Linked DNA regions of Canis lupus familiaris. The protein of the gene in region 1 interacts with the protein of each later gene in a biochemical or structural test. Links are inferred from orthologs where the notes say so. Each region holds a gene or a part of one and is shown on either strand. Other genes may lie near its edges.

What was found.
Region 2: the proteins of NUP153 (region 1) and SENP2 form a complex in vitro, tested with the Homo sapiens proteins (2 studies listed by BioGRID). The link is inferred for Canis lupus familiaris from reciprocal best matches to the Homo sapiens genes NUP153 and SENP2.

Annotation. Positions count from the first base shown.
Region 1 is NC_049256.1:17,831,564-17,835,377, forward strand, and holds part of NUP153 (nuclear pore complex protein Nup153), read right to left. Parts: intron 2,788-3,814; coding exon 2,431-2,787; intron 1,758-2,430; coding exon 1,485-1,757; intron 1-1,484. UniProt on the Homo sapiens protein: Component of the nuclear pore complex (NPC), a complex required for the trafficking across the nuclear envelope. Functions as a scaffolding element in the nuclear phase of the NPC essential for normal nucleocytoplasmic transport of proteins and mRNAs.
Region 2 is NC_049255.1:18,494,828-18,499,109, reverse strand, and holds the start of SENP2 (sentrin-specific protease 2), read right to left. Parts: upstream 2,945-4,282; 5' UTR 2,757-2,944; coding exon 2,656-2,756; intron 547-2,655; coding exon 491-546; intron 1-490. UniProt on the Homo sapiens protein: Protease that catalyzes two essential functions in the SUMO pathway.

The DNA.
Region 1 (3,814 bases):
TCCAGCAGAATCCAAATCTGAGAATCCTCATACAACGCAGTAGGATGTAAATGGGTACAATCCGTCAGGACAAGCTTGCGTTATTTTCTGCAGTATTGGATATGCATGCACACCTTTTAATCTGGCAGTCCCTCTCTTGGGTGTATATACCCTAGAAAAATATGCCCCAAGACACATACCCAAGAATGAGCAGAGGTACATTTCCTAAAAGGTAAAAACAACTCAAACACATTCGTGAACAGTATATGGATAAATTGTGATATGTTCATAAACAGATTGACTAACACAGTGAAGGAGAACAAACTATATGTAATAACATGGATCAACTTTACAAGTTAAGAGTGAAAGATGCAAGAAATCAAGAGACTTAATACAGTGAGATTCCATTTATATAGAATTAAAAATAAGACAATATGGTATTTTGTAGAGATTCATGTATCAGCAGTTAATTTTAAATTAAAACCCCAGGAAAGTGATCACTATAAAAGCCAGGACACATGAGAGCAAGGAGAGAGAGGTGTGTGATCACACAGGGACCCAGGAGGGGCTGCTGGCCATCCAAGCATCTGCTTCAACACCACACTGTTCCTTTATGTTTCATGCTTTTCTACATGAAGTCATATTTCAGTTAGAAAAATTAACATCGTGCAATTCTGAGGAACTATATCATCATAGTACAATGTGAGCAGCCATATTAAAAACAAAAAACAACAAAACAAAAAAAACCACAGAGGAATGTTTGTTTAAATATGCAAGTATCATCAAACAGAAAGCATCCTGGGTGCTTGGGCTATTCTGTCCCAGGAGAAAACTGGAGTGGAGGTATAACCTTCTGAAGTAAATCCAATCACAGTGGAGTGTTGGATTAGAAAATATGGCTAAAACTAGGCTGGAATGCTCCAAAAATCAGATGGGGAGAAACAGGACTGATCAATGCTGTTGAAACTAATACAACATGGTGTGTCATCAATACTTGAATAATAAAAATTTCAAAGAGTAAGAAATAACTACATTTTTAAAGAATGTAAATCAAAGAGTAAGAAATAACTACAAAGAGTAAGAAATCAAAGAGTAAGAAATAACTACATTTTTAAAGAATGTATTTTTTTAATTTATTTGACAGAAAGAGAGCACAAGCAGGGAGAGCGGGAGAAGGAGAAACAGGCTCCCAGCTGAGCAGGGAGCCCAGTGTGAGGCTTGATCCCAACACTCTGGGATCATGACCTGAGCCTAAAGAATACAATCAACTGAGCCCCCAGGCATGCCAAATCACATGCTTTAATACCTTATAGTGTGCTTCATTATATAAAAGTTGAGAATGTTGTTTACAGCAATGTCCAAACATCTATTTTTCTATTTCGCCAAGTACAAGAGACATTTAAAGAAAAAAGACATAAGCCTGGTTTCAAAATTCAAAAACCATCCTATTTAAGACACACAGATCCTAAGTACAGACACAAGCCATGTGACCAGCACACACTCACCGGAACTCGGAGCTGTTGCAGAGCCAAATGCAGACTGACCGGGCTGTTGTCCAAACACAGAAGGCTGGCTGCTGCTGGACACGGTCCCAAAAGTAGGTGGTGCAGGCTGAGAACCAGCAGAAAACAACGCTGCTGAAGAGGACAGAGCTCCAAAGCCTGGGGGATTAGGCTGGCTGGCACCTTGACTTTGTCCAAATGTCGGGGTTTGGTTAACACCAAATGCTGGACTGGCAGATGGTGCTGAAGGTCCAGTGCCAAATACAAAGGAGGATCCTAGAGGCCCAGAGAAACACTGATGTCACCTTAATAGCTACTAGGAGATAATTCTCAAGAAACATCTATACCTTCAGCGGCAAACTTCAAGCTTCTTTTCATACACTTACCTACCTGTACAAATCCCATCAAGGCAAGTTTTCAATAAATAATTAAGAATACAGTTCTTGCCATTATTTAGTGAAACCATACAGACAGAATGCACATACACAAAATCATCTACCTATTAACAAACCCACATCCACAGCCAAACTTTTTTTTAGGTAGAGGGCCCATCTAAGACAACAGGCGATAACTCATCAGATATCTAATAAAGAGCAGAAACCAACTAACGTTGTCATCCTGTATATACTACAGAATGAGGACTTTTGTCTAACGGAACGGTCCCCCAGTTTCTGGTTACTTAACAACATAACATTTCAAAAAGAACAGTGGAAAAAACCAACATGACATTCTTATTGAGACTAGAAAAATTCTTCCCAAGACTTAATTCTATTAAACCGAATACAAACTATACAGGATTCCATGCAGTGAACAGTTACAACATCCTGAGTAAAGAGGACCTAACGGCACCCAGGCCATTCTGTGAAAACCTGCTACGCTATTTGCTAAGAGAGGATATAATTCAAGCCAGTCCAACTACAACACGTATGTTGTTCTTCTGTCAAAGTACCTGCAGAGCTGGAGGTGGTTGTAGCTCCAAAACTGAAGCCAGAGGTGGCGGTGCTATTACTGCTGGCTCCAGGACCAAAGACAAATGGTGTGACAGCTGGGCCTGTGCTGGACGTGGTTGCTGGTTTGCTCTCTTGAGAGAACAGCAAAGGCTGAGATGCGCTGGATTCGGCAGAGTTCCCAAAGGCAGAGCTGCTCACAGGATTGCTGGCCTGTCCAAACACGAAGGCAGCCACAGGCGCGCTGGAGGAGGAGGTGGAGCTACCAAATATGCCCCCGGGGGCTGATGTTGCTGGTGCGCTCGAAGTGGAAGCACTGCTGTTCAAGAAGCTGAACACAGACTTCACTGCACCTGGATCTGAGAGACAGAAACGAAGGGGGAAACAAAAATCTGTAAGAAAAGGAGTCACAGAAAGCATTTCTTCCCACTCTCCAGCCCAGTAATTCATTAGAAAACAGAATCATTAGGCTTTTTTCATATAAATGTATTCATCAAATGGACATGTTATATTAAATTTTGATATAAAGCAAACATACCCATCTTTTCTTTGATGGCTTTTGGACTGTATCTTAGACCAGGCACACTTTCAGCATTCAGATTAATGAGAATAAAAAATATCACTTAAGTCCAACACATCTAACTGGAGGATATGTCCGGATAACTGTTCAGATAGTGGGAGACAGCTGTACTCTTCATTTTGCCATTTATGTTAGCAAAATCATAATTTATCCAACTGACAGCCACTTTTCTCTGCATTATTTACTGACAGTGCATCCTTCAACTCACTAATTGGTAACTCCACCTTTAGGACATACTAAATCTCCAAAATATGTGTGCATTTGTTTTCTCTACAGTTACTGTTACTAGACTGGTTTAATTATTGTAGCTTCATAGTATGGTTTGATATTAGAACAAACCTGTTTGTGTTCCTGCCCTTCTCTCCAAAATTTGTGCATTTTCCCTTCCATATAAATTTTAAAACAAGCTTATAGCTTGTCACACTCCACAAATTAAGGCTTCCAGCTATGGAAGGACTAGGTCACAAGGATCAAAGAGGGCACAGGGAACGAGTCTATGGTCCTGCACTAGCATCCTACGGTGACAGATGGGAGCTACTCTTGCAGTGAGCACAGCACAAACAACACACAGCTGTGTGATCACTACAGTGCACCTGAAACTAATGCAACATGTATGTCAACCACACTTCAACTACACAAAAAAACCAAGATTATGCTGGGGTGTTGGGAAGAATGCTCTCCCTCAGGAACAGGTATTAAATAGGTCTTTTATGTTCTTTCAATTTGTATTTCAATAAAATACAAATCAGAAATGTTAGAAGATACAAATGACATTTGTCCAACTATTTATTGCTGATTTAGAGGAA
Region 2 (4,282 bases), on another chromosome or scaffold:
CTCCGAAGGTAGATCGAAATTCACATTCATTCTTGAAACAAAGGAACTACTATTATAGCACTCCATTGTGCCTTTCTCCTTTAATCTAGTTTTGTTCTCTTTTATCAAGCTACATCTAGCCCTCTGGATACAGAGAAGTAAATGATTTGGGGCAACACATTAGACTCATTCCCTCAGCTATGTGAACTAGATGACTCAGTTTGAAGTAGCTTTATACAATGTTTTCTCCTCAAAAATAAAAAGCACCTTTTCCGTATAGGAAGATTGAAAAATTTTAAATACATATTCAACATACACCTTTATTTATCTGGAAAGATACTCAAGTCCCTGTTAACAGTGTTTACCTCTAGAAAAGATAACTGAGTAGAAAAGGACAGGAAAGAGACTTAACTGTTCACTGTACATACTTTTTACCTTTGGAATTTTGTTCCATACATACACTTTTCCCACTTAAAAAAAATCTGATTTTTAAAATTATCATATTCAATACCTAATCTTGGTCTTTTGGCTGGTATTTCATCAGTGTCCACTGTAGAAAACAAAGTGCTGAAAAGAGAAGAAGAAAAAATATATATATATATATTTATATATACATACATACATTTCTATAAGTAAATCTAGTATGCATATAACACATCCTCTCTCTTCACTTTGTCAAAAAAAGAAATTCAAATCATGTTAGAAAACACTCCTCTATAGTAGGCCTCTACTATTTGAGGACTTAACGTTATTGTTTAAACTATTTGAAAGAGACCCAAAACTCCCTATTAAGTGATAATCTGTAATCTGGCTAAAGTACAAATTTGCAACTGGCCAGAAATCACCTGGGTAGTAAATGAACATAGGTAAGAGCCTAGGACTAGTATTTCCTTTTTCTCTCCAGAAGTGATTTTAAAATAACAATTTCCTTGGGGCAGCCCGGGTGGCTCAGCAGTTTACACCTGCCTTCGGCCCAGGGCGTGATCCTGGAGTCCCCGGATCGAGTCCCACATCGGGCTCCCTGCATGGAGCCTGCTTCTCCCTCTGCCTGTGTCTCTGCCTCTCTCTCTGTCTCTCTCATGAATAAATAAATAAAATCTTTAAAAAAAATTCCTTTTGAAAGATGACAACATAAGAAGCCTTAAAAGAGAATTCTAAGCCCAAAAAGGTCTTCTATTTAACTGCATTTCTATCATGGAAACTACATTACACTGGTAATAAAAAGCTGGGGAATTTGGGAAAGTTTCTGGACCTATTTAAAGATGATTATGATTGATCAGTTTCAAAAAAAAAAAAAGGAACAAAATAAATCCCAGGGGAATACCATTCAGTTCATAACTGTAAACATCCCAGTAAGATCTCCTGCCTTCATTTTGACCAGAAAAAAAAAAAAAAAAAAAAGGCTTACATTGTGAAAAACTGGTTTGACTAAGGATGTGTGGTAAAGAACAGAGTTTTGATCTCCAAATCATTGTTTCATCTATTTGAAAGCAGGGATTCACAGCAAAAAGAAAGGACAGGGGAGAGAGAATTAACACTCTCCCATTCAATAAATACGTACCAAGTGCCTATCATGCACCAGCCTTAGCACAAGGCCCCTGGGGTAGAATAAACAAATACTACCCTTATATATATTAAGCATCATTTTAGGCACTATACAACATGTTGTCAAATGACCCCCATTGTCAACCTCACAAAAAGGTAGAAAAGAACAGGTTGAAACCTTGGGCTCTCTAGAACACATGATGAAACTCAGCCAACAGCCAATTTCATCAATGACCTGCATTCTCAGACTCATGTATTCAATCATCTTGTTCTCTCAAGCTCCAAGAAACCAGTCTTCAACAATCTTGAGGCTTCATTTCTTTTTTTAAATGAAACTAACACTTGATCAGTAAAAGTTAATGGTGGGGTGTGTAGAACTGGTATGGTGTTTTATTCTCTAGATTAATTCTCAAGCAAAGGAGTACACGCCACGAAATGAGACAAGCCAAGGGGTTGATGCTAAACAAGAACAGCTTTTAGGTTCCCCCAAGATTTTGGCTGGATTTTACAACTAGTGATCTTTTTAAAAGAACGAGACTCCTAATTTTTCCCCCTCATACACTCCAACGTAGTGCCATCCTCCCTCCCTCCCCCGCAAAACACGTACACACACACACACAGCTTGACAGCTGTTTCGGAACAAAACAGCTGCTGTTTCTCGGTGCTAAAAGAACAATTCTTGCAGTCAAAACGGCTTTGGGCAAGCTATGAATCTCACTTGCCGCAGCTGCACTTATTGCCTACAGATGACACTCGGGAGTGTGCTTCGTAAACAGTGAACCACAGCACGGACAGTATTCGTTCAATTTTGAGTTTTCAACCTTAACAGGATACGATAAAGCCCCACTGGACAGCAACCAGCTTGGCCTCTCCCAAGAACGTCAAAGATCCTGACCATCACGGGCCACTCCAAAGACAACCAGCTCGGTCCATCACCAGGAGCGCATCCGCACAGCGTGGAGGGAGCGACTACGTCACCAGGGCACCCGCGACTCGCACCTCCACCGCCTGGGCCCCGCCAGCTGATTCGGCCGGGCAGGGCCTGCGGGGCTGGATCGGCGCTCTCCGGGCCGAGCCCCGGGTGGGGGAGGGGGTACAGCCAGCCTGGCGCTCGGCCCCCTCTCCTCTCACCTGTTCGAGCGCCGCCTCTTCAGGAGGGCCCGGGCAGGGGGCACCGGCCGGTCACAGAGACGGAAAATGGTGCCGAGAATCCTAACCAGCCATTTGTACATACCAGGCCCAAGCAGCAGCGGCGGCCGACACACCCCGAGACGCAAACCCCAGAGCTGTCGCCGCCGCTGCCGCCTTCGCCGCCTCGGCCACCACCGCCAAGGCTCAGTCGCCCACTTGTGACGCGATCGGAGGGCCCACAGATAAAACGTCCTGAGGGCTACAGGACGCCCCCCCCCATCCCCGCCTGCCACCACGCCTGACGTCACCTCCTCCCGCCCGACCGGAAAGCATCTTCGTCCTCAGTCTGCGCACGCGCAGCCCCACCCTCGCCCCCGCTCCTCCCGAACCTAGCAACCGGAATGCGTGCCGGAGACGCCGGTCCAATCGCTAACGAGCTCGCAAAGACTGTGGGCGGGGTTTTCTCTTCGGCGGAGCCAATCGCGAGTCCGCCCGCGGGACAAGGCCCACGCGCCGCACGTGAGGCTTCCGCACCCGGGGGGAGCGCTCCCGAGGCCTGCAACCGAGGAGGTGCTCAGTAAGCGTCTGTTGAGGGCACGGAATAAAGGTAGGTCAGGTCCATGAACAAGTATTTACCCTGCTGACCGCCCTTTAGTTTGCATGCACCTTACGTCTAGTTTTTCCGCAGGCGTGGTCACCTTCATTTATCCCAGCACCCCCAGGCGATGGGGAGGAGTCTTGTGCCCATTTTTAATAAACGAGGAAATCAAGCATAGAACGATTAAGTGATTTGCCAAAAATCATCAGGCTAACTAGTGGCGTGGCCCTTGAGGTGAGTCCCCTGGAAGAGACGTGATTACAAATTACAGGATAATTGTGTGCAAAGTGCGGTAGGCGCCAGAGAAAGGAAAACCACACCTTGGGGAGGAGTAGGGAAGGACGGAATTTAAGGCTGCGCGGAGACCTCAGGAGAGTCCTCCCCTGGGCTGGCAGGGAGTGCCCATTAGTTCTCTCTCTGTTACCTAGAGGTCACACTTCTGGTTAATTATCAACAAGAGAAAAAGTCCCACCCTGCATAGTGACTAGAAATTCGGGTCCCCTCTTCCAAACAGTCGTGGAATCCTTCTTTTCAAGCCCCACAAACCCATCCCTGACTGCAAACTTGACCCTTACCTACGATTGAGTTGAGGCCAGACTTCCAGGTTTGCTCGAACTTTAACCCAGGCACTCCCCATTGACAGCCTCGTCCTTTGCTGAGTAAAGTGTTCTGGAATTCTGGTGCAAGTCACCGCCCAGAGCTCCAGAACTACCAGCTACCCACCGGTGGCTATCACCACTCTGGAAGCAAATCCTAAATTGTGGATGTTGGCCCCTTTCTTTCATTCTCCAAAACAAAAGTTTGAGAACAGGGTTAGAAAGACCACAGGCTTTTTTTTTTTTAAGATTTTATTCATTTATTCATAAGAGACACTGAGAGAGAGAGAGAGAAGGGCAGAGACAGAGGCAGAGGGAGAAGCAAGCTCCATGCAGGGAGCCTGACGTGGGACTCAATCCTGGGTCTCCAGGATCACACCCTGGGCTGAAGGCGGCGCTGAACCGCTGAGCCACCCGGGCTGCCCCAGATTTT